Linked DNA regions of Lonchura striata. The protein of the gene in region 1 interacts with the protein of each later gene in a biochemical or structural test. Links are inferred from orthologs where the notes say so. Each region holds a gene or a part of one and is shown on either strand. Other genes may lie near its edges.

What was found.
Region 2: the proteins of RLIM (region 1) and LHX3 form a complex in vitro, tested with the Homo sapiens proteins (2 studies listed by BioGRID). The link is inferred for Lonchura striata from reciprocal best matches to the Homo sapiens genes RLIM and LHX3.

The regions. Positions count from the first base shown.
Region 1 is NC_134616.1:16,780,992-16,796,277, reverse strand, and holds the start of RLIM (E3 ubiquitin-protein ligase RLIM), read left to right. Parts: upstream 1-8,314; 5' UTR 8,315-8,437; intron 8,438-15,286. UniProt on the Homo sapiens protein: E3 ubiquitin-protein ligase.
Region 2 is NC_134624.1:9,074,462-9,089,887, forward strand, and holds LHX3 (LIM/homeobox protein Lhx3), read left to right. Parts: upstream 1-7,963; coding exon 7,964-8,033; intron 8,034-10,544; coding exon 10,545-10,716; intron 10,717-10,905; coding exon 10,906-11,108; intron 11,109-11,286; coding exon 11,287-11,438; intron 11,439-11,524; coding exon 11,525-11,696; intron 11,697-13,188; coding exon 13,189-13,607; downstream 13,608-15,426. Other genes in the region: QSOX2 (sulfhydryl oxidase 2), read left to right, coding at 1,585-2,135. UniProt on the Homo sapiens protein: Transcription factor.

The DNA.
Region 1 (15,286 bases):
TGACATTATTCTCCCCCCTTTATCTGGATTTCTTCCAGCATTAATTTCAGCCAGTCCTGGGATTATTTGAAAGAGGGCCTTGGGGGACTTGTTCAAAGGCACTGCCACCACAGACGACTTTGCTTTCTGAACTGAAGCATTTCACTCCTATCTGTCTGGACATATGAGCTGCTCAGCACTGCTTCATTAGGCAAGTTATTTTTAAATTCCCAGAAAGAGCAAAACATTGAGAGAGGAATTAGCATTTGCTGTTGAAACAGCTGCCAAACAGAAGAGGCAGAAGGCACTCCGGGTCCCGCCTGCTATCCCTGGGATTAACCAGGCACCAGTACCCAGTCACTGACACACTCTCAGACTGCACATGACACGTCAGAAATCATGGCCCAAGATAAGGATAGGTAAGTGACCATCAGAACTCTGTTCTGGATGTAAGTAAGAAAGTGACCATCAACACAAAACAAGAAAAAATCTTGGAAATCTCTCTTTTCCTCCAGCCCTGTTCTCTGTTTCCCCCTTTTTCTTACCTGAACTATTCAGTTAAAGGATTTTAACTCCATTCTGGTTTCTCCACACAAATGAATGAAGCAATAAAGCCTGTCCAGAGTCTTTGCTGCCCTTAAACAGCAAGACCCAGTGGGCACCCAGCACTTTCCAAATGCCACGGGACTGCAATAAAGCTGATGCTGCTTGATTGCATTCTCACTCTGTAATGGGTTTAAGTTTCCCAGTGGCTGATGGTGCTCTTTCAGGCCAGAGTTAAAGCAAAAGGCTTGGCAATGAATTGTCTGAGGCACGTTTTGGTCTCTGTTCACAAATGCTGATTGCCCCGTGGTTGGTGCTGCTGAGGGCAGCCAGGATTCCCACTGATAATGTTAATAATGCAAAAAAAAAGTGTTGAATATGGGAAGGCGGAATAGGTTAGGTAAAAATATCCTTTCCACCTCTCTGGGAGCACACAGGCAGCACCTGTGCTCCTGCCTGCAGCCACAGGGTTTCTGTATTTATCCAGAACAAATCTAGCAGGAGCTGTTCTCATAACCTGCTCCCAATTCCTGTCTAATGAAGGCTACTGGATTCCTCTGAATTAATGCTTGTTCAAACCAGAGTGTTTGCTTTGGAAAAAAAAAGATCTCATTAAGTATTTCCAGTGATTCTTCAGTGGCAGGCACTCTGCCACAGTCGGCAAACTGCCTGTGGATCTTCCAGTGGACACCTTTCCCCAGTCCTAAAAATGCACAGCAACCTGTATTGACATCCACCTACCAAACACCCCTCAGCCAGATAAATCATGGAATCACAGAATGGTTTGGGTTGGAGGGGACCTTAAAGACCATCCCATTCCACCTGCCAGGGCAGGAACACCTTCAACCATCCCAAGTTGCTTCAAGCCCCATCCAACCTGGCCCTGAACAATTCCAGTGATGGAGCAGCCACAGCCCTTCAGGCTGTGCCAGGACCTTACTATCTATAGGGTTAAATCTGTCATGTGCCTTCCCAGAGACTGCATTTAAAATGTCCCTTCACCTTTTATTTCTTAGTAAACTGTGTTCCTTGGGTGCTTTTTCACCAAAGTATGTTTTCCAGCTCTCTTCCTGGAGCACACACAGAGGTAATAAAACCTCTCGTGTCTTCCTTGGTACCTCGTTTTGTGATTCCTTGGAAGCATTAGCTCCTCTTGGCAGAGCATCTCATTAGGAGCTCTTCTTCAGCTGATTATTCCTCTTCTGAGTCACTGCTTTCCATGACTTTGTCACCCACCCCTTAGTCCAGCTGCTGCTCTATTCTTAGGCTAACGACTTAACATCTGGTGGCACGAAAAACATGTTGTTTATTTAAACTCATCTCATTAAGTGATCCAGATTAGGTTTGGTATTGGCGACCTGCCCCAACTTCTGTGCAGCTGCAGATCAACAGTAATTATTTGGCATTTTCTCACAGGTCAGTGATCACACGTTAAGTGTTGTGGGGTCAAGATCGGGCAGGAAGGGAGCTCTGCCGTGTTCAGTGCTCTGCTTACAATTACACTTGGAGACCTATCAGTTAGTTTTCAATCCAATTAATATTTGTCATATTGACACATTGTTCCTCTCAATCAAAGTACAGTGAAAGACAAGATCTGGTCTCTGGCTGAAGATTTCTTCTAACAGCTCTACTACTGTGAACTATGATATTAAAGAAAATATCTGATTAACGGGACAAAGCCTACTTTTCATAATGCTACAGGATCTCCTTGAAATGATTTATCAGCTTATTATCTGTTACCTTTTTTCTTAAGTATCTGTGACAACAGAATATCCAGGAATATCTCCCATTAACCTTTAAAGAGACAAATGGCTGGAACAGATCTCCTGTGGCCCCTTCCCTGGCAGCTGTTCCCTGTGAGGGGCCAAGTGCCCTCCCCTGTTTCCCACTCGTGCCCAGGGCCAGGGCCCCACCCCAGCCACGCTCTGCGGGGGCAGAGTCCCTGTCAGTGCCCAGTGCTGGGCAAACCTTTGGAGCTGTGCTGGCAAACCCAGCAGCCCCAGGCTCTGCCCCACCCTCTGTCACCAGGATGTCCCCAAACCCCACCCGCCCCTTCTGACCTTCCCAGCTCTGTCCTGTGAGAGCTCAGCACCGCTGGGAGCACCAAACCCAGAGCTCGGCAACACCGAGGAGACTCGGTTTGCTGTGAACAGAGGGAAAAGGGAAAGAGCTTCAGGTGTTTTAATGCTTGGAACCGTCTACCAGCACAGGGGTGGGACTGTCCATTTGGGGACTGTTCCTTTGGGACTGTCCATTTGGGGACTGTCCTTTTGGGGGCTGTCCATTTGGGTACTCTCCATTTGTGGGGACAGTTTGCAGGGACATAAGATTCCTATTTGGGAATCTCCATCTTGGGACTGTCCATTTGGGACTGTCCTTTTGGCACTGTCCAGTTGGGGACTGTTCACCTGGGATTGTCCCTTTGTGGACTGTTTAGGACTGTTCCTTTGGGACTGTCCATCTGGGATGGTTCCTTTGGGACTGTCCCTTTGGGACTGTCCCTTTGGGACTGTTCCTTTGGGACTGTCCCTTCGGGAGCTGTTTGGGACTGTCCCTTTCCCTGCAGCCCCTTTCCCTGAGCCCTTCCCCAGTGTCACATCTGCCACTGTGTCTGTGCTGCCCCGTGCAGGGGAGGCGATGGAGCAGGGCCTGTGGGACTGAAAACAGCTATGTTCTGGGGCTCTGATTGGGTTTTCGGCTTGGTTTAGGGGACAGAGATCAGGCTGTGCCAGGACACACATTACTCAGCTGCACCAGTGTGAATGCACAGCAAATTGTTTGGGCATGGCTGCTTTTGGGAGAAAGGCTGAGATTAAGACTTGATGTAAATTTAATTTTTTAAGTTTTGTCATGAGGAAAGACTCAAACAGTGTTTTTCTTGCGATTCTGAAAGATGTTTTTTGACCAACGTTATAATCCTAGAAGAAAGTTACTTTAAAATTAAATAAAGCGAATGCTAACCAAAATAAAGTTAATCCAGTAAGCATGGTAAGGAGTTCATCAAGATGGGGTAACTTTTCCAGTCTAGATTTTATTCTGTCCTACCTATGGAGCTTTTAATTTCCATTTGACTACTTTAGATGAGCTTTCTTGCCTCAGGGTTTTAATAAAATCAATGAACTTCTGTGCTTAAAACCTGGCAGAGATGGCTTTTTCAGAATAGAAATAAAGTTCCTTCATCAGGAGACAAGTTTTCTTGAATTAATACCTGCAAAGGTGAGTTTTCCAGAAAGGAAAAATAATAGTTTAATTGCACATGGATGTTCTTGGATGGCCTGGGGTAATTTTGTTAACCAGAAGGAAAAATAAAACCTCACTTTTTCCCACTTGACTTTGGTTATTTCTGGCCGGAACAGGGCTCAGGTGCAGTGATGAAGCACTTTGGTGACATGAGCAAGCACCTCTATGTTTGGGTTGTATAAATTGCCACACTCTGCTTTAACTACTTCATCTTCTGCAGCCTGAATTTTTTAGGTACAACTGGATTTATAGAATTTAACTAGGTGACAGTAAACAGCAGAGAAATCCTTTGGGATTAAGCAAATTCAGCAGAAGTTTCCACATCCTACATTTATCACAGACTTTGTATGTAACTTTCTGCCAGAATCTACAGAAAGACAAAGTCAATGTAAAAAGTAAACAGCAGCTCAGCTTTAAGCGCAGGTAGCTGGGAAAAATCAGAATTCCTGCATTTACACTCCCCAGCTGGCTTCATCTCCCCACTCAGTTCCTGGCTCTACCTCTACTTGGAGTATACAAAGATCTGAGTTTGGTGGGTCTGTTATTTTTAATTTTTTTGCTCAGGTTTAGAAGCTCCCAAGAGATTCAGATTTCCACACCTCACTGCATTTGGATTATTACTTAGCTATACTGAGAATGAGTTATTTTAATATATTTTTAGAAAAAAAAAAATAAGCCAACATTTTTTTCATCTATCACTGCATACCTAATAAGCAGTTTTTAAAACTCTAGGGAATTTAAAACAAATTTATTTACCCCCATTGAAGGAAACGACATTAAACTTACCATGGAAAAGTGTTGCAATTCTCTTTTGCTATACACACAGTAGCAAATTGAAAACACTTAAGTAGGAATTACACCATGCTTTTGCTGTAGATTTTGAATTTTTCCCTATACTGCAAATTTTTCTATGCAAATATATTTTCCCCTACAAGCTTTTTGAAATATGCTGCTACACTGCTCCTAATTTTGTCAAAGCTGTTTAGGAGATGTGTGTGCACAGGTCATTAATTATTATTAATGTCAAGTGGATACTGAAATCCATTAAGTGGTTTTGAAAAATCAGAGCTTATTCTGTACCTGATCAACTCTGTGAGGGCATTTGCAAATAAATCCACCAAATCGCACCCAGGGAGAGACTTTTCTTCAGCTGTGTGCCCTGGACCTCAGCTCCAAGTTTTTACTGCTAAGGAAGGTGTGAATCAGCAGGATCCAGCTGCTGTCTCTGCTCCTCACGGGTGTTCATCTCCCAGCAAACTACAAATGTCTGCCTCAAGAGTCGGAGCTCACCCACAGACGTGAAGAGGAATGTTTTATTGCTCTGTTGCTTTGCCATTTGATGATTTTCAAGACTTTCGGTAGGGTTAATCAAGTAAACCTATTCTGTTGAGGGGGAAAGATACAAACAAAATGATGTGTCAGATGTCAGGAGGCTGTTCCAAGAACATAAACCATCATCTTATCCCTCCATCCAAACAGAATATGCTCCACCTCCCATTTGCTCAATAATCCCTCATATTTTGCTGCTTAGGTTACTGGTGTCTAAACAAAGCCACTTTTATCCTGCTCTGACCTTGCCTTGTTTCCAGAAAAGGTGGGGGGAAAGGCAGGATTCACTTTCATGCATGACCAGCCTGTGGCAGTGCCCTCACCTCTGATTTCTTTTGAGGTGACACAGAAATGTCCTGCTGCTGTGCTAATTGCCAACACTCATACTCATGGCTGCCTTATCAATCCTGGGCACAAGGCTTCCCATGATAAGCTGGATCAATTGTGTGCCCATCACCTGCTCCCTGAATTATCCACGTTTGAAAAATGGAATGGGTTTTTTGCCAGCTTCAGTGGTGCCTGTCAAATATAAAGCAGTGTCCACACACTAAGCCACAGGGTCTCCATTTGGGGGATACAGTTTCTCTGGCCACTGGATTTTGTAGGGGTTGGACCACATAAAACATACGTTTGTCATGGGTCAGGAGCAAGACAACTTTTCCCAGTGGCAAATATTTTGGTGCATTAAATATTTGGTGCATTAAGTATTGTGATGCATTAAAACCACAAAATTGCTTTGTGACATTAAATTTACTCTTCTTTGGGGTTTTTTTTATAATATTACTCACATTTAACAGCCAAAGCAGAGCTGTTAGGTCACAGTTTGACCCAGCAGTACATTTAATTGTAACTTTAGCAACGATGCAAAAGACTGGTCTGATGTAAACTCACCCTCCCAACCCCAATTTACTTTTAAAATCATAAGAAGTGAACATTGTCCAAGCAAGTTTTATGCTGTGTTAAGTACTACCTCTCCATCACTCCAGGTATGTGGTGTATCAATACTCAATTGCTTCATGTACAGGTTATTTGAACAAAAACATAGTTGGGAACCTACACCTGCTCCAGATGAAAGTGGGACTCCTTCCTGCTCTCTGTTATTAAGGATTTTGGCATCTTCCTTTCCTGGTCACAGGCTGTGGCAAGTAAAACTGATGAGAAATATGCCCTGTACCTGTTCCTTCCCTCTTCTCTCGCCCGGACACTGTGGCTGCCTTTGAGTTCTCAAGTCTGCTGGAGGGAATTTAAAGTGTGAATTGTGAAAAACACCAATCACTTGTTTTTTGTTTTTTTTTTTTTAATCTTAAAAGTTAATAATAAAATAGTTATAAAAATAGTAATAAAATTAGAGTAGTAAAAATTTGGACACAGGATTAGGACACTACAAGACAATAAAAAGCAAAGAATTACAGACATCTGGATGTTTTGGGGCACTGAACTGCCAAAAACACGTCTTGGGAGCAAAGGAATAACCCTTAAAAGCAACAGCCAGTTGCATATTCATCTATCTCATACATGATGCATAAATTCTTTGCAAATTAAGAATGTTTCTGGTTTTTGTCAAATTCTTCCCCTTAATCCTGGTGGTTCCATAAAGATGGAGAGAAGGTGGAAGAATGTTTGTCTTTTCTGATAAGGAGGCTGTAATTCTTTAGATTTTCTGTTGCTGTTATCTCTATGCGAAGAGTTTCTTGATTATCATATCCCTTTTCTTGAGCTAGTAAAAAATATCCTACATTGCAGAGTTTCTATTTTAACATTATGTTGTAACCTAAAACTGTATTTAACACACTACTTAAAAAGGATTAATACAGTATTACAAAATAACCCTCCATAACACACATAGTATTCAATTTAATATTTGTGAAGAGGCAATCATAAAATATGCATTTTTCACATTAATATATAAAACCACTTCATTTACATTAGAAGTTGGACTTGTATTGTTGAGTAGAAACTTAACAGCTTCCACAATCTTTAAATGCAACACCCCCCTCAACTTGACAGTGCTATTTTTATAATGAACCACCAAAAGGAGAAAAAAAGGTGTCTCGTGGGCTTCCTGAAATGGTGTAAAATCCTCAGGAATACGTTTTTTCTCTATGTATCAGATACTATGAAGATAACTTCCTTGCAAGACCTTAGCAAGATATGACATTTTGGGCATTAAAATGGGATCTTTCAAAACTCAGCTGCCCTCGGTAATTCCAGCAGTGAGGGGGAACACTGCAGAAGTGCTTAACCCTACATAACATGGGAAGTCTGGCGTTCAACTCATTAAGGCTCACATAGGAAAACATGAATATCTCAGTTTTCAGAGCTGCATGTAGTACACACCACCAAGTGAGGGGGGAAAACCCTGCCATAGTTATAGAGGGGAAAGAACGTTCACGGTTTGAGGTGGAGGAATGTCAAAGCTTGGAGGGAAAGGAATGTCCGTGGTTAGAGGGGGAGGAATGCCCATGGTTAGAGGGGGAGGAATGCCCATGGTTAGAGGTGGAGGAATGACCAAGGTTAGAGGGGAAGGAATGCCCATAGTTAGAGGGGGAGGAATGCCCATGGTTAGAGGGGGAGGAATGACCATGGTTAGAGGTGGAGGAATGACCATAGTTAGAGGGGGAGGAATGCCCATGGTTAGAGGGGGAGGAATGCCCATGGTTAGAGGGGGAGGAATGCCCATGGTTAGAGGGGGAGGAATGCCCATGGTTAGAGGTGGAGGAATGACCATAGTTAGAGGGGGAGGAATGCCCATGGTTAGAGGGGGAGGAATGTCCATGCTTGGAAGGATGAATACCCGCACCGACAGACGCCAGTACTGCCAGTATTTGTTTTTTTGGCACTGCTGGCCACCATCGACCATGCACGGAATCCCCTCTCTCCAGCGCCCACACCTGAGACAACATGAAACTTAGGGGACCGCGGGGATACGGACCCTACAGTGAACGGGCAGGCACTGCTGAACCCCGGTCCCCCCCGCATTCCCTGGGTGCTGGGTGCTCTGAGCTGAGGAGCAGCCACGGCAGCCCCGCCCCGCCCTCAGCCTCTGCCCGCACCAAAATGGCGGCGGCCCCTGAGGGCCGCGGCCGCGCGCGCTGGGCGGGGCTGCCCTCGCGGGCCGCGCCTGCGCGGGGCCGCGCGCGCCCCCACTTCCGGCTGCCGGCGGCCGCTTCCGGCCCCCCGTTCCTTGGTAACAATGGAGCAGAAAATGGCCGCCTGAGCGGGCAGGAGGCGGCGCGGCGGCGGAGCGGCACGGGCGGAGCGCGGACAGCCGGCACCCAGCCCCGAGCGGCGCGGGCAGCGGCGCACCCACAGCCGGGGCGGCGGCGGGCGTCGGCGGCGGCGGGCGGTGAGCAGCGGGGCGGGGGCGGGCTCTCAAAATGGCCCGGGGACGGGAGAGGCCCAGGCCCGGGGGAGGCGGCGGCGTCCTCTGCCCGCAGCGGGAGGCGGGAGCGGAGCCCCTCAGTGCCGGCTCGGGGCCGGCGGGGCGGCTCGGCGGGGCGCGGGAGGCTCCGTCCGCGGTGCCGTGAGGGAGCGGGGGGCGGTGATGGCGGTCTGGGCGGGTGTGCCCGGATGGGCCGCGCTCCGTCACCCCGGGGCCTCTCCCGCCGGAGCCGCCCGGATCCTCCGCTGCGGGCTGGAGCGGGGGCTGCGCTGCCTGCGGGGAGGGCAGACGGGCCCCGCGCCCTGCGGGTGTCCGGCCGGGCTGGGGAGGAATGGTGAGCGGCTCCTTCGGGAGGGGTGGGGGAGGGGGTGGTCAGAGCTGCTGCCCTGGGCCTCGTCCGCGCTTGGGCGTCTGCTGCGGGAACCGCAGCCTCTCACGGCCGCGTTTTCCGCCCGTGCTCCCCGAGAGCTGGGCCAAGAAGCCTTGTTGTGGAAGACAGGCGAGAAGAACTCTTCCTCTCCCGCTGTGCAGAGCTTTGGATCAGCCTGTGACCTGTTCAGACCTGTGCTGTTTGCTATTCCTGTGCTGAGTTTCTCCCCAGTTAAGCACGTCATCTTTGCTCTGTCACCTTAGCTTCCTGTGCAGGTTTTCCCCTGCCCCTTTTAACGATGTTTGTTAGTATTTAAGGGTTCTGGTTCTCTGTTTCAAAACCTTTGTCGAGTCCAGCTGCATGTATGTGTTTATCTCGAGTCTGCTTTAACTGAGGAGCAATGTCAAGCTGTGTGTATGTATATCTGCCTGGCATGTAGTGATGATTAAGGTTTGTTTATAAAATTTATTATGTGTCCCGATTTTAGTGTGCAGCAGAAGTCTGACAAAAGGTTTCACAGGAAAAAAACCTGAATTTTTAAAATAATAGTAGTATTATTTTGCTGTTTCTCAGCAAGGTGGAGCCTTGATGCAGAGAAGCTCCTAAACAAGAATACAAACTTGATAATACCCAATAGTATCGTCACACATCACATTTATTTTCCTGAACGTGTTGGCAGTATTGGGTAATTTCAGCTTGGAAATACTTGTCAAATGTTCAAAAGAACTTCTAATTTGTCCCCGAGTTTTAATTGCAGTGACTTGTCAAGTCTTTTTAAAACAAACAGTTCGCTGCTTCTCGGGCAGTTAATTATCTTAATTGAGGGTCAGATATTTAGTTTAGTTGTAGTGGTCACCTAGCACTTAAACTGACTCTGTTCCCTCTACAGGTTTACCATTTTGGAATTAAAATAATGATAGCTTGGAATTATGTCTTGGGAAGGGAAAACACACCACACATTATAAAATTAAGGGTTTCTTGTTATGTTAGACCACTAAAGCACAACAACTGCAGTGTTCCCTTCATCAGCAACTCTGACTGGGTAAATGTTTGTCCCTGAAATAACCACACACCAGTGTTTTTCAAGCTCTAGTGGTTGCCATCTCTATCATATTTATTTTCCATATTACTGAATTCCTAGAAAAGGCTGTTGCAAGTGTCTGCTCTCCAATATGTGTAGTTGGGTTTTTTTTTTGAGGAATGGATAGCGTGATCCTTAGATTGAAATGTTTTCAAAACACCCTTACATCAGACACCTGCCTTGCTTGTTCTTTAGTCCTCTTCCCTGTGGGGATGTAGCAAAATAAATCCCTTGATCTTAGCAGAATAATTCCAATTGCAGTGGAGGTGTTACATTTTTTTAAAAATCACAGCATAATAACAATGCAATTAATATAGAACACAATGCTATATATTAATAACATGTTATTAATATTAATAAACATAATATGTTTATATAACATATGACTCCATATGTCTAAAGTTTGTGTTTAAGTCCAGCCTAATGTAGCTTAACACATTACTGGAGTGTCCTAAATTCTTTTTTTGTAGAGAACTTCAGTTTCCATGTCTTAAAACACTTGAATCCAGACATGATTATTGGGTGTTTAGCCAAGGTTTTGTGGTTTAATCTCAGTCTTGGTGAAAACTTATCAGCGGCTGAGTTTGCAAAAATTATTCGTGAAGGGATAAAACCAAATGTGAACACTTCCTTCATGATCCCTTTATGGGAGTCTTGTGCTTCTCAAAACCAAAACTTCTAAAGAGTTTAGTAGTGTCATAACTTAGTCGGGAGCTTTGTGTGCTGAGTAGGGATAGCCAGGAGCATCCCAGGGACTGGTTTTGCCTTTGCACAGCTTCTGGCTGCAGGTAAGATCATAAACACAAGCCTGTGTCTCCTTCAGAGTGCTCAGGTTTGTATTAATGAGGTGCTTGTTAGGAGCTTTTGGCTGCTGCATGGTGTTCAGGATCAGCTTTTGACTCGGGGAGGTCTGCAGGGTTGGATGGTCTCATAAAACCACCTGATGGTTATGGAATGTAGGAAAAGCCAGCACGTATTTTATCTTCATTCAGTATTTAAAATCATCTTGTGCTCAGAGCACTCTGGGTTTCGATGTGCAAGGTATATGTGCACATAGTCCTATTAAAATGCTGGAGCTTCTCTGCCTTGGGATGGTATCAGAAATGGAATTGTCATGGTACAGATGCCTGTTTAAATTCAGATAAATAGATAAATTTGCCTTAATTTGATTTCCCACCTCTCTTTGTTGGGCAGTGGATATCAGCAAGAACAGGAACGCACGTATCGGAATTCCTCTGTGGTTTGTGGTTGCAGTGATTGTTGCTCTTTTACTGTTAGCAGTGCCTGCATTAGCAGCAGTTGTGTGGAGACAGCAAGATTCAGCAGTCAATTTAAAGATGGCTTTTTCTTTTTTAATTGAAAGTCAGTGAGTGTTGATTGGCTTGGTGTTTTCACTAACCACAGCTTGTGTTTCTTCAGGAATCAAAACTCTACTTGTCCTTGGCTATCAGTCCTGTTCCAGTGCTGTCTCTCAGGGTCAGCACTGCTTACTTGTGTGCAGCTTTACTTCTTTTGAGTTCAGCGTGGGCCTTCTGCTGCTGACCCAGCTGGAAGTTCATTTCTGGGCAAAAAGAGCATCACTTCACGAGCCTGCAGTGCTGGAAACTTGCTGCACCTCGTATACGCCAAGCTTTCTCTTCTGTGCTATCTGAATTTGATGGCAAAGGCAGTGTTATCTTAATTTTATTTTCCACTTGTATGTGGAAAGTGTTGTTTTAGTAACTGCAGATGATAAAAGGCAAAGCCCAGCATTTTGGCAGTTGTTACTGCATTTTATTTTCAGAGCTCCATCTTGGTTCCACATGCTCTCAGTATTCTGGAATTGCTAAGTTCTGCCCTGATTTCCTCACTTCTTTCTGACTTATCAGGAGTTGTTAGTGTTTCTTTATCTCAGCAGTTGGTTCAGCTGAAGTGTTTTTCCTCTCTGGTCTGTTGGGGTTTTTTATTCTGTGGAACTTTCTGCCACTGTTCTGCACAAGTATTCATTTGCTTTCTGTTGTTTGAAATGTATGTTCAGAATGACATCTTGTTTGAGGGCCTTTGCTTTCAAACACTGGGTAATGAAAAAGCTGAATCGATGTTTAAAACTCATTATTAAAGTGGCATTTAAATTTTACAGGACTTTTCATAGAACACTTTATAGAATACAAAACTTTCTTCCAGCTTTGCAAGACTGGTGCATTTCTGATTTTAAAACTTGTGGTAGATTTATTAAAAAGCTAATAAGAACCTAAACCTGCTGTTCATCACAGTGGAAATAAAAAGCCACAATAGAAGGGAAAAGAATCCCAAAATTCGTTATGCCACTTCGAAAATTAGAAAAGTTTCTTCTTTTTTACTGTTTCTAAGATGGAGATGAGTATATTGGACCTGTGGTATCAAAGACTTCGGTGTGATCACAAAAGGCACCTTGTGCACCTGCACAAAAAGAAAAAGCCAAACAACTTGACATAATGAAGCTCCATGTATAATGCAAACAGATTACTTTCATTTCACTGTCTTAGGGTGTCTTTTTCCTTTAATGATGGGATTCACTGACAGTTTTTCCTTCTGCTTTTGAGCTTGCAGACTTGAGTGATGAAATATTTAAGATGAAAATGTAGTTTCTGTTATGTCTTACTTCCAGTTTTGAGTATGGAGAAATTGGATACTGACTGGCATGGAAACTGTTTTTTCCACTTTGAATTCTTCTAGGAAAATGAGGTGGAGTGGGTTGGATGAGTGCTGTGTGTGAAGTGGGTTCAGTTTGTGCTTGAAGGAGCTGGGGTAAGAGGACTGCCTGTTCTAGCTGCTGTTCCTGTGTCATTTGAGACATGGAATTGGAGCGAGGCTGGCTGGGGCCGTGCTGCCATGGCACGTCAGAGCTGCTGAAGTCACAGTTCGTGGAAAGCGCTTGGACACGCAGCTGTGCTGTGCTTCTCTGGAGCTGAAGTGTCTTTGAGGCATGTTCACTGCAAGCTGGGCAGGGAAAATAGCCTCTAACGACCCAAAGCAAACAAATCCCAAGCAAATCCGTGCTTCTGGATTCCATCCTGAGTCACTCCTTTAGTCCAAGGGTTTGATCAGTTCTGTGGACTGCAAGTACGCAAGGTGCTCTACCGGTTGGAGTAGCTAATTAAGATGAGGGTATGAATCATAAATGAGAAGCTGGCCTTCTGCTGAGGACATCTCTGGAACACCCACACTGCCATCCTCTTTTTTGTTTATCCAGAGGTATTAACTGTGTTGCTGGGACGTGAGGTAACTCAGGAAACATTCCTGCCACACAGGGCACAAGAGATTCTCAGGTGAGGTTGATATACCGGTAACACCGACATGGGGGAGTTCTAGAGAAACTTCTTCTTGCACACCTGACTCATGACCAGCTGAGTTGGTTTTTCAGTTTAATTAAATTCCGTGCCTTCTGTTAAAATTTGAGGCTTGCCCCATAAATCTAATGAAAATTTTAATTTTAAGGTGTCGCTTTTTCATTAACCCTGCCAATTAGTGATTTCAGGGTTTGTCAGATTTTCTAAGTTCTGCCTAGTTGGTTTAATGAGAGCTCTAATGTTTTATGGGATTTCTTTTAAATGTAAAAAAGAAACCAGGAATACAGGCTAAGGTAGTGTCTTGGTGTTCAAGTAAGGTAACTAATGTCAGGAGATATTACACATTTTTGAAGGAGGAAGAACTAGAGATTCATTACTGTGCATTATAGTCCATTAATACTTTTTCTGGGAAGAATCCTGTAGTCCACAAGTGCTGTGCAGTATGGAGATAGGCTGTGTTACTGTTGAAGGTAAATGGGTGACACACACATGTTATCCCTGCTTGCTGTCCCACTAGAATTGAAGCAGTAGCACATTCCTGACTGGATTTAGTTCACACACAACCTGGCATGAAAGAAAACAAAATATTTCTTAGGCTGTATGAATGATAACTTTGTATTATTGAGGGAATATCCAGTACTCTTAAATTGTCCCTGTCCAAAAACATATAGTATTGCTTCCTCTTGAATTAAAAGAATGTAACAAACAATGGCTTTTGTGGGCTTACTGCAGTCTGGAGCAGCAGTGGGGAGACAGGCAGTCATTTGTGCTTGGAAATCTCTGAGGTTGTTGAAGCGTAACTGCAGGGAAGATACTTTTCTGATTTGTGGCAGGACAGGAACACCAATTAAGAATTCACTCTGTAGCTACTCTTGTCTGGATATTCAGCTGCTGAATAATTTTTTTTTTTTTTTTCCCAAGGAGAAAATTGTTTATCCTGTCTCCGATTCTCGTGCTTTGTGCAGTCCTTAGGTGGCCACCCCCTCACTTCCCTGTAAAGAGGTTTTTCATACCTGGATAATCTCAGCTGAAGTTGGCAATAACCACCAGATCTGAACTTCCTGCTCATAGCTGTGACCTTCCCCACCCTGTGTCAACTCAGTGCTGACAAGGAAGGACACTAAAGGAGAAATTTCTGAATCTTTTAGCTTGGATAAGAACAAAGCCTTGTACTGGAAGAAGGAAAGCAGAGTTGAACTGTTCTTGCTTATTAGATAGCCAAATGTTGGTTATTTTGTTGTAAGCTAATAGTGCGCCTGTTGGTTTTCCCTCATCAGGCTTCCCTGTATTACTGGCTTCCTTCAGCCAGTCTTAATTGTCCGCAGGCTGTGAGCTGAGAGCAGCATCCTGAAGGGCAGGGGTTCAGGTTCTTTCTGCCTCTCTGTGCAGAGCCGTGGTGGCTCCCACCGTGGAAATTCTGCTGCCCAGCCAGATGGGCTCTGTGGAGCCATGCTGAGGCAGGAGCAGTCTAAACATTCCAGTAACTTCAGTCTGGCCATGGAGAGCTCTGCAGCGGGCTGGGAGGTGAGGCTTATGCTGGACAATGAGCACAATGAGGAGATAGAAACTAGCAGAAGCCTTGGGGTAGAAATCCTGGTTTTCATTTGCTGGTTTCATTTTCGTCAGAGCTCTGGTTTGAACAGTATCATCCCATTTGCTGTCATCAGTCACATAGCGAGAACGTGTTTTTGCTGCTGTGTTTCTGTGCCATCAGTGTAAACATCCCATAGAGATTCACAGCATTTCTGGGATCCTGAAATCTGGATATGGGGGACTGGTGTAACCTGTTAGTAGCTTGCAATAGGAAAATACAGCAATTTGTCACTAGCAGAAAGGTCCTTATGTAAATTAAATTCTTCATTCATGCCACCTCTGAGGCTTTTTTCTCAGCAGTAGACTCTGTTCAGCCTTGACAATTAGCTGATTGTATGGTTTAAGAGGGAAGGTAAGAGGTGATGGAGGACAAAAGAGGAGCAAACCTGGAAATAAGTAGTAATGACTTATTCCAGGCATTTCCTAAAGAATATCCACTGAACTGTACATCAGCCTGTTGG
Region 2 (15,426 bases), on another chromosome or scaffold:
CTGCATTCCCAAGATTTATGAAGAATTAAATACTGTTGTGAGTACAAACAGTTTGCCTCCTTTCTCTGAGGAGAAAAAAAAAGTAAATAATAAGAGATTAAATAAAAACATCCTCTAATTTTGGTTCCTATAACAGGCAACTCCTGTGGACTTGGAGTTGCCAAGTGGTGGAGCAATGCACTTATTTAGAACATTAAGGTATTGGAAAACTCACATGGATATTGATTTAGGTGATGCAGCAGCCAGCTAAAACAGCCTTTTAGTAAGAAGTATAAACACACTGGAATAAATAATAATGTTAAATTATGCTTTTTCAGTTTGCTAAAATTTCTCTGTGGGACAGTGATATATTTTCATCCTTAAAAGCTGCATCTGTATTTGTGGTGCTGTGTGAAAAATTGTGTTTGGTCAATGAAAACACCTTGGGGTGGGGGTCAGGAGGTGCCTGGATATGGCTCTGCCCTATTGAATTATTCCCTGTTCCTTTGAAATGCACAGGATTTACAGCATTTCCCTCTTTGGCAGGAAAACACAAAGTACAGGGAGTTTTCTGTTTGCAACCTTGCTGTAACACATTTTGTTTCTGCATTTTTTATTGAAACAAATTGATTGCTGGATGATCTTTAGGATAAAAAAGCCAATTTGCTCTTTTGCTTGTAAATATCAAGGAGACAAATACTTTTAAATGTCTTTTGAATCCCTATTTTATGCGGAATCATGGGGAAGTTTCCTGCTTTTAAAAAGAATAAAAATAATAAAATGAGAATAAAATGCAAAATTATTGTTTTTAAATATTTTAAGTGCTAGTGTACTAATCAGGTTAATAAATTAAGGGTTTTACCAGGTGAAGCTTTTTTTTTTCTAAAAATTATGTGCATTTACATTTTAAAATATTGTTTTTAGAGCAAAGTGTGAGACCAGCTGCAGCATTCAGCTCAGAAACATGGCCAGAGCTGTGAGCATCTGAAATGTTAAAATTAGATCTAATTCAAGACAGTGTTACATATTTAAAGGCTCACTTTTTAGCTGAAAAATACATCTTAAACATGAACATGGCTTTTAAAATACTGCAAATGTTTGTTCTGGTAGTGATGCAGAGCTGTGGAAAAGCAGGCTTGGGATGGAATGGTTCACAACACAGAAACATGAAAATATCCGAGTGTCTGCCCTTGGAGCTGCTCTTGCAAACCAGGCAGAAAACAGGGATTAAGGAGTGAAAAGAGCAGTTTGTTTTGCACCATAATTCAGGTTAACCCTGCAGAGCCCAGACTGTTGTGTGCTCCTGCCTTCTAAAAGCAGCAATTGCAGGATTTGGGGCTGGGATTGAAATGCTGCAGCTTTTACTGTGAGAAAAGGGAAATAATTGTGAGTTAGTGCTTGTATTTTGAAATGTTCGGAGTCAGAATTGGTGAGAAAAGTTCCAAATTGTGATTGTCTTTGTTTAATTCAATTATTGTGCTGTGGCTTTTTATGCCAACCTCACTGAAAGTGCAGAACACTCCCTGGGCAGTGTCTGATGGTACAGCTTTCCCACTTCATTCCTCCTGACTTTTTTCCATTTCTATTTTTTCTCCCCCCAATTAGGTGATCTGACTGAAGATCCAAAATTCCCCAAAGTTCAGTGGCCAACTCCAGACATTTGTCCTGCGTGTCATGAAGAAATCAAAGGGCTGCACAGCTGGAATGAAGCCCAAGTCCTGCAATTCCTGAAGTCCCACTACAGCAGTGAAAACATTCTCTACAAATACACCGAGAGCCAGACTGACCCCGCTGACAACGAGCAGGGAGGCACGAGGGAGGGGAAAGACAAAAACCTGCTGAAGAACTCGGGGGGAAATGGGGAAAAGAAGCTCCAGGAGAAGGAGAACCCAGGAGATCCAAGCTCCAGGGTGTTCCAGAAGCCGATGGGAAATCCTGGACCTGTCCAAGGTAGCGGCAAAAGCTCAGCTGCATCCGTGAGCCTCAAAGGGACCAGGCAGGCTGTGTCCTTCCTAGGGATTGGATTTTCCAACCTAGACATGAGTCTGTGTGTCATCCTCTATGTGGCATCATCCTTGTTTTTAATGATCATGTACTTTTTTTTCCGGGTGAGGTCCAAGCGCTGGAAAGTGAAGGCTCACCGTTCCTCGGTGTAGGAGTTCTCGCTGTACGTGGCTGTTGGCTCCCAGACACAGCTTTAATATTTATGATCAGGGATTTTATATGCAGTATTCCTTGGGTCAGGCCCCTTTCTTCCCAAGGCGTTCAGCTGAACAGGTGGAGCTGGCCTTGAGATCCCCAGGCTTTGCCCAAGGCCACGTCAATGTCCTCGCACGGGAGCGTTGCATTTGGCAGTTAAGATTTTTCCATGACTTCCCACCAACATCCTTTACTCATTTCCAGAGTAAACATTGCATTATGCAATCTGCTGTGCCTGCTGGAGAAGGAAATTGGATATTGTTTTGTGTATTTTCAAGTCAGGTGTTATTTTTTTTTTTTTAGTTCATCCAGAGCTGCTTTCACCTCCCCGAGTGCTGAATGGTACCTTGGCTGCTTCACTGGGAGAAGCAGGAATTCTGATGTTTCTTTTCAGGAAACATGAGTTCTCTTCTGATTAAATCAATTCTAAACCTCTGTGACTTTCTGAAATATTATTTACGTATTTAAAGTAGGAAGCATTTCATGTTCAAACCATTCATCCGTTCTCTGGTGCATTCCAGACAAGGATCTGTGTGTGTCATCACTAGGATGAGAGTTTTGGGCACAACTAGCAGCCTGATTCTGAATGCTAAGTAATTATGGTGTTGTCCATGTGGAAACCAATTCTGATGAACTCTAGGAAAGGAAAACAATGTTTTTAGTGAAGGACAGCAAGATTTATGTTATTGTGGCAGAACAGGTTGGAAAATCTACAAATACTGAGTTTCTTCTGTTGAATTTCTCCATCACAAGAGAGCAATTAACACTTCCCTTGGTATTTCCAACCAGAGCTCTCCCATTCTGGGATGTCCAGTTCCCTCTGCAGCTCAGTGTGGGGTCCTTGGAGCAGCAGTGAGAAGAAATCACAAAAACATTACAAAATCATCCTTGGGAGTAGGAGTTGCTGTGATCCTGGCTGGGGGGGTATAATTCACGTCCTGGATAGTGAAGTTTATAATCCTATCCAATGTAATTGAGCATGTTCTAGTTATCCATTACCTAATCTTTAGTTAATCCTAATAGGTTTTGGCTTCAATGTTTTCTCGTGGCAGTGAGTTTTCCAGATTAATTATGTTATATAAAAAGGCTTTTCCTTTCAATTCTACATTTGCAACTTTTAATTTAATTGAAGGTTTGCTGGCTCCTCTGTTACATGAGAAGGAATAAGGAGTCCCTGGCCAATTCCCTGGATTTATTCCATTGGTGTGTCCTCCTCTAATTTCCCTCAGAAGCCCCAGCACAGAAAGTTTGAAGCCTGGCAACAAAAAAAGCACAGAGACTCCACAGGGTGATTTTTTCATAATCAAATATTGGCTGTTCACAAAATTGAGTCTTTCTGACGGGTCTCTGCAGCATCCAGTTGGAATGACAGAACTGAGGTGCAGAGATTCACTGTCCCCTGTAGCTGAGGTTCATCACAGTAACACCCACAGAGAGGAACAACTTTCTGGGGCTGCTGTGAACGTGTCAGAGGAAGAAATCTCAGTTCCCATGACCCTGTCAGTCCAACATTCCTGCAGAGGGGCTGGGTCTGTGCCCGTAGAGGCCCCTCAGAATTCCAGAGTTCTGGCAGAAGGAATCATCCTGGGTCTTTCCTCTTTAGGAATTTATGACTCCAAGCCTTGGAGCAGCTGGGCTTGGATTTCAAACACCCTGCAAGCACAAGGGTGATGGTGAGCTCAGGGGAAGGGGGTCCAGGCTCATCAGGGCAGGGTTTGGGCTGGAATCCTGTGAGAGATCCCAGGGCCAGGCTCATTCAGAGGAAAACCCAGAGATTCCACACTGACTTTTGAAAATCAGGTAACTTTGGGGTGTTCTCAGCCCTCCAGCAAGGATACTTTGCTTTAAAAGGAAATCCAAACACCAGGAAAAACTAACCCAGCTCAGCAATGTTGAGCTAATTCATTCCTGCTCTCAGTATTGCACATTCTCAAGTTGAAATTCAGTCATTAGTTGTTTAGAATTCTAACAAGTACATAGACCTGGTTTCATAAGCTTTGACTCATTCTGCTCATTTTCATCTGCACATGAAAGCAAAAGGCCTTGGAGGTTTGTAGGGATGATTTTGCCATTAAAAAGCAGCAAATGTGGGTTTGGAATAAAGTTTAACTTCCACATTGCTGCAACCCCGCTGCAAACAACAAAATGAATCAATACTCAAACTTCAGTGGCTTTTTTTGTCTCTTTATGAAAGTATGAAATTAATGAAATTAAGATGTTGCTTGTCCATATTGGTGCTCCAGCTTTTGCCAGTGAGCCAGCCAAGGCTTTCACTTCAATGTCCTCATCTGGGAAGGTTTTCTTGACTTTGAATTCACTTGAGCAAATCTTGGTTTGCTTGGGTTTATTTTTGGCTTTCTAATGACAAATTATACCATTTTATGTCTCTGTAACAATACAGTCTGTGCTGGGACGTGGGGGATGCTGCCAGGAAAGTCTCTGATTTAAAAATTGTCTCCAAGCCCCACGTCCTGAACCTTGGAGGGTTTGTTTGTGTGGTGTGTTCCTGCAATGCCACTTCCCTGTGGGAATCCTGCTGTGCTGGGGGCAGTCACTCAGCCCTTTGTAATTCATGGAGCTTTCTTTGCTCTTGGGATGTTTTCAAATAGGAAATATTAAAATAAAAGGAATAGAATGTGTCAGGAGAGACAAAGGCTGCAAGTGCTAAAGAAACCCAATGAAGTTATTTGTGAGAACTCCTAATTTTCTGTATCCAGCATTGCATCCATCCTGCTGTTCCTGCACGGAGCTGGATGGGAACAAAAGTCCCAGGTGTGGTGTTGCACATGAGGTGTTGAAAATAGTGACAATACCATTTCAGTAATTTAAATGTTCTATTTATTTGAAGTCAATAACTTGACATTTCCAAGTCTGTTCTGTTTGGATTGGGTTTTTACTGTCTCATTCCTCTCTTGGAAGGAAAAGTGACTGTTTTGTACTAAACTGTAAATTAATGTGCTTGTTTAAATAAACTGCAAACGTTTGGGCAAAGTGGATGCGTTTTGGCTCTTTACCTGTGTTTGCAAATTGTTTTGAGCTGAGCTTTATTGCCAGGACAGCTCATGAACATGTCCACAATAAACCAGATCCATCATCCTGTGGAGGTGTATTTTTAAACCCAGACTTCTGAGGAGCTGCTGAGGAATCTGAAGGAGGGAAGAGAAAATAAACCAGGAATAAAGAAAGGTTTGAGTGGGTTGGTTTTTATTAATGGTTGTTTTTTATAAATGGCAGAAGCCCAAGTGAGGAAGGCCATGGGCAAGGCTGGTGCCTGCTGCCCCCTGAGCAGGAGGGCACAGGAGGGTGTGCAGGGAGATCAACACAGGGACTTCTGTGGGGTCTGGGTGTCTCAGCGTGAGACACCACGGGGTGGCAGGTGCCACTGCTGGTCCCGAGTGGGACACAGCCCCTGCTCCCTGTCCCGAGTGGGACACAGCCCCTGCTCCCTGTCCCGAGTGGGACACAGCCCCTGCCCTCTGTCCCCAGTGGGACACAGCCCCTGCTCCCTGTCCCCAGTGGGACACAGCCCCTGCCCTCTGTCCCGAGTGGGACACAGCCCCTGCCCTCTGTCCCGAGTGGGACACAGCCCCTGCTCCCTGTCCCGAGTGGGACACAGCCCCTGCCCCCTGTCCCCAGTGGGACACAGCCCCTGCTCCCTGTCCCGAGTGGGACACAGCCCCTGCTCCCTGTCCCGAGTGGACACAGCCCCTGCTCTCTGTCCCGAGTGGGACACAGCCCCTGCCCTCTGTCCCCAGTGGGACACAGCCCCTGCTCCCTGTCCCCAGTGGGACACAGCCCCTGCTCTCTGTCCCGAGTGGACACAGCCCCTGCTCTCTGTCCCGAGTGGGACACAGCCCCTGCCCTCTGTCCCGAGTGGGACACAGCCCCTGCTCCCTGTCCCGAGTGGGACACAGCCCCTGCTCTCTGTCCCGAGTGGGACACAGCCCCTGCCCTCTGTCCCGAGTGGGACACAGCCCCTGCTCTCTGTCCCGAGTGGGACACAGCCCCTGCCCTCTGTCCCGAGTGGGACACAGCCCCTGCCCTCTGTCCCCAGTGGGACACAGCCCCTGCCCTCTGTCCCGAGTGGGACACAGCCCCTGCCCTCTGTCCCCAGTGGGACACAGCCCCTGCCCTCTGTCCCGAGTGGGACACAGCCCCTGCCCTCTGTCCCGAGTGGGACACAGCCCCTGCTCTCTGTCCCCAGTGGGACACAGCCCCTGCTCTCTGTCCCGAGTGGGACACAGCCCCTGCTCCCTGTCCCGAGTGGGACACAGCCCCTGCCCTCTGTCCCCAGTGGGACACAGCCCCTGCTCTCTGTCCCGAGTGGGACACAGCCCCTGCTCTCTGTCCTGCCCGCCACAGCTGCCCCACCCCTGCCCCGTGCCCGGGGAAACCGGCACCACCACACCCGGGTTTGCTCAAAGCGCTTCCTTAGAGGCTCAGACTAAAAATCCACTTTAAAACCGAGCTTAGAAGGGACCGTGTGGGTCATCAGATGTTCCTGGCCCTGGGGACGAGCTGGTGGCACCCGGTGTCACTGCAGCACGGTACCGGTCACACTCGGGCAGGACCTGGAGCCCGACTCCCGCCTGGCGTTCCTGGGTGCTTTATTTGGGGACTCCATCCTGGTCCCCAAAGGGAATCCCTGCATTTCCCAGCCTCGCGGGCTGCAGCCTGTCCCCGGCCAGACGAACCATCCCAGGGGACAACCCCGACCCGGCCCGCGGCCCCGCAGGACCCGGGGAGGGGAGGGTGGGCTGGGCTGGGTGCCTCGGGGCCCGGGGCTCGCCGGGGGCTCCGCGGCCGCCCCCAGGAGCGGGCGAAAGTCCCGGTGCTGCCGTGGGCAGGAGCATATGTGAGTTTGGAGGCTCCCGCCCTTAAGCTGCTTTTATTAATTTGTAATCCCCTGCGAGCAGGAGGTAAAGGGATTCGGGGGATTAACGGGCTCACAGTAACAACCACAATTATCAGCTCCGGCTGCCCGCGGCAAGCGGTGCACACACGCACGGGGCTCTCCCCGGGCAAACGCGGCCCCCGCGGCCGTGGCAGCGCCCCGAGAGCTCCGCACACGCGGGAACGCGAGGTGCCGTGGAACAGAGCACAGGCACAGGCTCCCCACACCGTGTGCACGGCCAGACCCCCACCCCGCGCTCCCGCACCGCCCCAGGGCCGCCGCGCTCACAAAACCCCCGCACAGCCCCGCGTGTTCCGCACACGCACACTCCGTCCGTGTCCTCCCCGTCTTCAATTAGCGCAATTAACCTCCTGCACCGCCGCACGCCGCTGGCCGCGGATCAGGCATGAATTCGTTAATTAATTTGCGGCGGGGAAAGAGTTCCCCCGCTGCCCACGAGCGGATTCAGGGGAGCCCCGCACTGCGGGGACAAACGAAATCTGGGCTCGGGGGCTGCCGGGGGGCAGCCGGGCCCGGGCGGAGGCTCCCCCCGACGGCGGCTGCCCCGACCCCCTTCGTGCTGCCGCCGGGGGGTTCGCGGGGCTCCCGGGGCCGCTTTGCACCCGAGGGCGGCGGCTGCAGCCCGAGCCCACGCGTCGGGCGCGGCCACGCGTGGGACGGCGGGGACAGCGCTCCCTCGGCCGCTTTTGTGATGCTAAAGAGCCCGGCGCTGCACCGCGGCCCAGCTGCGGCCCGGTGCCGCCCCCGGCCCGCCCCCCGCGCCCCCCCGCTCCGCCCAGCCCCGCGCCGCTCCCTGCGCGCCCCTCCGCGCCGCTCCGCCACTCCTCCGCAGCCACCCGCGCACTTCGGACGGCGTCCACGGAGGCCGCGATGCTGCTGGAGCGGGTCCGCGCCGGCTCGGAGAAGGCAGCGGAGCTCTGCCCCTTCCCGCGGAGCCCAGGTGAGGGGGAGGCGCGCAGATCTCCGCGTCCCCCCGCGGAGGCAGCGGCGGCTGCTCTGGGAGCCGCGGGACCGGCCGTGCTCCGTCCGTGTCCCGAGGGCACCGCCGGGGCCGCGGTCGGGGCTGGGTGCGGGGATGGGCGGCCCGACGGCATCGGGGGGTCCCGTCCCGCCCGTCCCGCTCCATCCCGCCCGCCCCTCGCTCTTTCCTGCCTCGTCCCCGATATCAGAGCCCCCCTCGCTGCCCCCGGCCGCTGCTCCAGGTGTCCGTGGATCCCGGGGAAAAGCAGCGGCTGTCCCGCGCTCACCGGAGCTCTGCCCGGCCCGGCGGAACGGCGGCTCCTGCCCCGGGGTCCCACCGCTCCCCGCTCAACGAGGACAGGGACAAAACGGGGACTTCCCGCTGCCCGAGGGTTCCCTCCGATTGTAGGGACCCCCTGCGCCCTCCTGCCCGCCTCCCACGCGGCTTTTTCCCCACTTTAGAAAAACTCCGTTAATTCTTCTCTTAAATGTTCTTCCGTCCCGTTGAACGAACAGGGTCAGCCCTGGCGGGGCGGGGAGAACCGGGCTGCGCTCCCCCGGCGTGGCCGGAGCTTCAGGGCTCAACGGGGGAGCGGGTCCGGTCCCGGAGCGGGGCCGTCCCGGTTCTCACCAACATCGAAAGCTTTCGATGTGGCTTTAAAAAAAAAAAAATCAACGACGAGCCGGGACGGGGTCCCCCCCGGTGTGCGGGAACAGAGGTGTCACCGTGAGCGGGACGGACCGCACGGCCCCGCAGCCGCCGTGAACGGGCTGGTGCCCCGGTCCAGCCCCGGTTCGCTTTTCCCTGGCTGTCCCCGTGGGCTCTCCGCGGTGCGCACATCGCGGCCGCGGCAGATGCGCGTTTGACCCGGCGACCGGGAGCTGCTTGCGCTCCGGTAGAACGAAGGACGAGCAAATTCGTTTTACCCGCAGGACACGACGCTCGTTCACGGCCCCGCGGTCCTGGGCTCCGCCGGGGCCCGGGGAGGCAGCGGGAAGGGCTCGGCGGAGCTTACCGTGGCCGGGGGCCGGTGCCGGGGGGTTCGCGCCGCCGGGGGGCCCGAACCGTGGGGCGCTTTGCCCGGGCCGGGGACAAATGCCGGGGTTTGCGGCTCACAAGGAGCTCGGGGCAGCGGCCGGCGCTGCCTCTCCCGGCGGGACCCCCGCCCGCCGCCGGCCCCGTCGGGGCTCGTTTCCCCGGAGCCGCGTCCCTCCCGCCGGGCGCAGCCGGGAAGGGGCGGCGGGAGGGGATGTGCCGCCGGCCCCGGGGGCGGGGGGGATTAAATACAGCGCTCCGCCATGCCCTGCCCGGCGCTTCAGACCGGCACCGGCGGCGAGGGCCGGCGTCTAAAAATAACCCGCTTTAGCGAATTAAATCCCCGGCGCCGCGGGGGTGGCGGCGCTGGGAGCGGGGGACAGCAGCCGCTGCTTTGGGGGGGTCCGGCGGGGGCAGAGCGGCCGCTGCGCCCTCGCCCCGCGGGAGATGCGCCAGAGCCCGCGGCCCGCCTGAGGGAGCGGAGCTGCCGCGGCCGCGGATCGCCATGCAGCGTAAGAGCCGCGGAGCGGGCTGGACCGGGACCTTGCCGGGCTGTGCCGTGCCACCGTGCCCGCTGCCGGTGCTGGAGCTCCGTCCTGGCCGGGGCCGCTGCCTTTAGCGCTGCCGCTGCTGGGGTTGTTTGTTTGGACGCGGTGAATTGTTAAGGATAACGATTATCACCCCCACCTCTTACCCCCGTGCACGGCGAGCCAGCTCCTATATCTATAGAATTATCTTTACATAGAAATGCTCTCGTGTCCGCACCCATCTGTTTCTGTACAGCCGTGTCATGCATCTCTCCGCCTCTATCTATACCGATATAACCGTATTTATGTACCTCATATCCATATTTTCACCTACTTATCTCTATCTCTACCTATATACTGAAATCTATATATTTATGTTTATATATATCTGTACATTTATCTGCTGTATCTGTTTATTTTTATATCTCTATTTCTCCGTAACTGTGTCCTTATCTCTTTCTGTATAATCTCTGTCGGTATCTAAAGGGGGACGGGACAAGACTGCCGCGTTTTCATTTTCAGTGCAATTCTCGTAATTTTTGGTAGTTTCTTTCCCCGCCCCATTCGGGCTACCCCACCGTTGTTCACAGGTGAATTTTGGAAGTTTAGGAAAAGGAAAAAGAGCCTGGGATAATTATAGCTTTGCCAGCGGCTCGCTCGGGGACTTAACTCCGTTTCCATCACTTCCCTTCTTGTTTATCCCGGTTCTCCCGGGCACTTCTCCCGGATTGCGCTCGGCTCGGGGGTTCGCTGCTCCCCACGACGCCGCGACAACGAATTTGAACGAATAATGCTTTTTTCCGTGCTGTTCCTCGGGTCACCCCCTCGTCCACCGTTGGTCACCTGCAGCCCCGGGGCGGCGGGCCGGGCCGGGCCGGTCGGGGAGGCGGAGGGGCCATCGGGGCTGACGGGGGCTGCCTCCCCGCAGAGATCCCGCTGTGCGCCGGCTGCAACCAGCACATCGTGGACAGGTTCATCCTCAAAGTCCTGGACCGGCACTGGCACAGCAAGTGCCTGAAATGCTCCGACTGCCAGACGCAGCTGGCCGAGAAGTGCTTCAGCCGCGGGGACGGCGTCTACTGCAAGGAAGACTTCTTCAAGTGCGTGGGGACGGCCCGGGAAGGGACGGGGGGCGGCCGGCCGCGGGTGGGTGTCGCAGCGCGGGCGCGCTCGGGGTTCAGCACCGGGACAGCGGCACCGGGAGGAGCACCGCGGACAGCGCCGGGCCCGGCGGGGACCGTGCCCGGCCTCGCCCGGCTCAGCGGCCGCCGCTTGTCCCCCATGCTCAGGCGCTTCGGGACGAAGTGTGCCGCCTGCCAGCAGGGCATCCCCCCGACCCAGGTGGTGCGCCGGGCCCAGGACTTCGTTTACCACCTGCACTGCTTCGCCTGCATCGTCTGCAAGCGGCAGCTGGCCACCGGCGACGAGTTCTACCTCATGGAGGACAGCAGGCTGGTCTGCAAGGCGGACTACGAGACGGCCAAGCAGAGAGGTACCCCTTGCCCTGTCCCTTCCACCCCCGAGGGCAGCAGGGAGGCGGCCCGGGGCTCTCCTGCCCTCCGGGACAGGCTCACACACCGGGCGGCAGGGTGGAGGGAGGGACCGGGGAGGGTCGGGGGGTCCCGCGTCCCCCGTGGTGACTTCGCCCCTAACTCGCCCCGTGTCGGCAGAGGCTGAGTCTACGGCCAAGAGGCCCCGCACCACCATCACGGCCAAGCAGCTGGAGACCCTCAAAAACGCTTATAACAACTCGCCCAAACCCGCGCGGCACGTCCGGGAGCAGCTTTCGTCGGAGACGGGGCTGGACATGCGGGTGGTGCAGGTGAGTGCGGGGACCGGGCCGGGCCGGGGCGGCGGGCGCGGAGCGGCCCCGCAGGCACCGAGCTCCCCGGCGTGCCCCGCTCGCAGGTCTGGTTCCAGAACCGCAGGGCCAAGGAGAAAAGGCTGAAGAAGGACGCGGGGAGGCAGCGGTGGGGGCAGTACTTCAGGAATATGAAGCGATCCCGGGGGACATCCAAGTCCGACAAGGACAGCATCCAGGAGGAGGGGCCCGACAGCGACGCCGAGGTTTCCTTCACAGGTGGGTCCCGCAGCCCCAGCCGGGCTTTGCGGGCGCGGGCTGCGTCCTGCCCCAGAGCTGCTGCCGTGCCCCGGCTGTTTCACCCCTCGGGGCCGCGGTGGGGATTTGCGGCGATAAACCAGAGCGGCCGAGGCGGGAGAAGGGCAGAGCCGCGGGATTCAGCGCGGGGAGCGGCGGAGCGAGGGGCGGCCGGGCCGGGGAGCGGGGAGAGCTCCCCGCGCAGCGCGGCGGTGCCAGAGCCGCTGCCCGGCACGGCCTCTTCAAGGGATCCTTGGAAATACAAAAAACGGGAAGCCCAGAAGCACGGAATGTTTTTCTGGGAAAACGAGCGTGATTTGTTTTTTTGTTGTTTGGTTTTTTTTTTTTTTTTAAGTCGTATTTAGGGATGGGTTTATCTGTGCAGTTGCTCATTAGGACTCTTCAGTGGGAGCTGTTCCTGTGCTGCAAAAAGGAAATAAGCGGCTTCTGCAGCAGTGTGTCCCCTTTTTGGGGCCGAGGTTTCTGGTGACAAACCCAAAATTTCTGGACAGACCAGCAGCAGCTCACCCCACACTCTCCAGACCCGCAGGGACAGTGTCCCAGGCTGGGTTACATTTGCAGAAACACGTTCTGCACAATCCCAACTCCAGCCCAGTGCTCCATTCCAAATTTCTGTATCATTTTCAGGAATGGGAGAGAAACTGAAATGCAAGCCGCTGTATATATTTACATAGACTGTGTATTTATAAACACACACTTTTTCATCTCAGCTCCTCTCCTGTGCTCCTAAAAACAATTTGATTTTCGAGTCTGTTTATACACACTGTGTATCAGCTCATTAAATATTAATAGTCTATAAATAATAACTAAAAAATGTCGAACAATTATTGAGAGCTCAGGTTTGTATCCCCAGCAACAGAGCAGCTCTCACTGTCCATAAAGCTTCTAACGAATACAAACAATTTTTTCTGGAAACTTAAAAAAATATTACTCATTTTTTAGGAGTGTTTTTAAGCCATACAAATACATTCTGTGTTTCTGTGGTTTCATTAGCCTGTCCTGACCAGACAAATATTTTAATTTAATATCTCTTTTCCTGAATAATTGGGAATTTATCTTGCATTGTTTCAGGTAGCTCCTAAAAGTGATATCAAAATTCAAGATAAACATCAAAACCAAATAGAAACAAAAAGTGAAAAGACATCGAATTCACTTCCCCTTTAAAGAATTATTTTTAAATCACAGTTTTACATTTTAATACGTACTTTTTATGCATGTTTTTAAAATCCAAGATATATTAGTTGTTTGTATTCAGAAAAAAATATTAATCCCATGGCTGCCTATGAAGATTTATTGACAAGGATGGGAATAATAAGGAATTACAAGTGGAAGAGCATGACTGCTCAGCTCCCATCCTTTTAATCTATTTATACCCGCCGTTCGTGGGAGTTCCTGGGTGACTGGTGCTTTTCCATTGCTCCCCCAGTAAAACCAGTCCTTTTCCCTTTCCCAGACGAGCCCTCCATGTCCGAGATGAGCCATTCCAACGGGATTTACAGCAACCTCAGCGAGGCCTCCCCGGCGCTGGGGCGGCAGGCCGGCACCCCCGGGAGCTTTGGCCTGGAGCACGGCGGGATCCCGCCTCAGGAGCAGTACCACGACCTGCGCCCCAACAGCCCCTACGGCATCGCCCCGTCCCCGGCGTCCCTGCAGCCCCTGCCGGGCCACCAGCCCTTAATCTCCAGCCTGGTGTACCCGGACAGCGGCTTGGCCATCATGGCACAGAGCGGAGCCGGCGTGCCCCAGCCCATGAGGGTCCTGGCTGGCAATGGACCGAGCTCCGACCTCTCCACCGGCAGCAGCGGCGGGTACCCTGATTTCCCGGCCAGCCCGGCCTCCTGGCTGGATGAGGTCGACCACGCTCAGTTTTGATGCTGGCAGTCGAAGGGGAAGGACTCGGTGCTGTTGGAAGGGGAAGGACTCGGTGCTGTTGGAAGGAGAAGGACTCGGTGCTGTTAAATGTCACCTGCTCTTGGAAAGGACAGAGGGACGAGCCGTGAGCGGTGCAGGAACGTGACACGGAGGGAGCAGAGGGGATTTCGGACATGACCCTGCCATGATGGTGGCGATGATGATGGTGGACAAAGGCCCTGGCACTGCAACCATCGGCACCCGGAGCGTCCCAACCAAACCGATTCTTGTGTCTTTACCGAACACCAAGACTTGTGCTTTACAGATTTGATATGAGGTATTTTGCGTTTTGTTGTCAGTGCATTCTCCAAAGCACCCATCCACACCAAAACGTTTTTAAGGGAAAATAAAATCCTCATCTACGGTGAAAGGTGTGACAATGTCTATATTTCTATAGGAGAAATGTTCATAGTGAATCACTTCAGAAATCCATGGTAGGAATCTTCTCTGTTCTTCCAACAGATTTTTTTAAAGTGCACCAATGCGGTATGTTTTGTTTTACTTTGAACTTACATTAACTTTTCTAAAACGAAATGCTCTTAATATGCCAATCGTTTATCAACATCCCTTTTCCTTTGTAAAATGAAAATCATATGTTAATTCTGCTTCTCCCCTCTTTAATTTGTAGATTGCTAGGTTGACTCTTCCATATAAGCATTAAACCGTGAATAGATGTATTTATTACCAAGTAATTCCACGTTTATCACGAGGTCAAGAGGTGAATTTTCTTGACCCGGGGACACCGGTGGTGGATCTGGGTTGTGGATCTTACGCTTTTCCTTCAAATTTCTTTGCATCAGTTTTACTGCAAAGTGTCTCAAAAATCACCCTGATGTCTTGTTGCCAAAAACCTTCTCGGGGGGTCGGGCTGGTTTAGGATGAGCCCTTCCCCAGGCACTGCTGGAGGGAGCACCCCCTTCCCTGGGGACACGTCTCTGCTCCAGGCATTTGTGTATTTCCACGGATATCGTGCAAGCTGATTGTGAGGAAAGGCAAGACAATATGTATATTGTTATCTGTACAAATTATGGAATTAACTGTAGATTATGTGGATGTCCAGTGTCTTTTATTTATATTCTTGCTTTCTCTCTGATGATCAAATACTTCAAGATTACAAATAAATTTGTCAGCTAAACTTTACATAGTCTTTTGCTAAATTCACATCAATATCAGTAAATAAAAAGCCTGAAACTAAAAGATCTTAAAACTTGATCAAGCAAAGTGTTGAAATATTCCCTTTCAATAGAGGGGCAAAATGCTTTGGAACAACAAAAAAATGAGGACATGGGAGGCTGGCAGTCCTTGGGAGATCTGAGCAGGACTGTTCTGGCTTTAATCATGATTTTGATGGGACACTGTTATTTTTCATCGTTTGTGGCAAAGGAGGTGGCTGACACAGCAACAGGAAATAGAGTCTGATGTTATCTGTCTGCAGAAAGTTGTGAAACACAGATATGGAAATATTTCAGAATATTTTCAGAAAGAAAGGGAAAAAACTCCTAAGGGAGCCAGTTTGATCAAACGTATGAATATATATATTTGTATTTACACAGGAATATATATCCAGATAAAGACACATCCACGTGTCCGTGGTCACACTGCTGGGAGCAGAGTGCTGAGCCCTCCGGTTCGAGGATCTGAGGACAGCCACTTTTTAAGACACTTTTTAACACACGCAGGCTCTGAGCTTCCCATCCCCCAGGGAAATCGGGGAATATTTGTCCCGAGGTTTCCCAGGTGCCCACGAGAGCAGCGGCCAAGCCCGGGGCTGTGCCCGGTA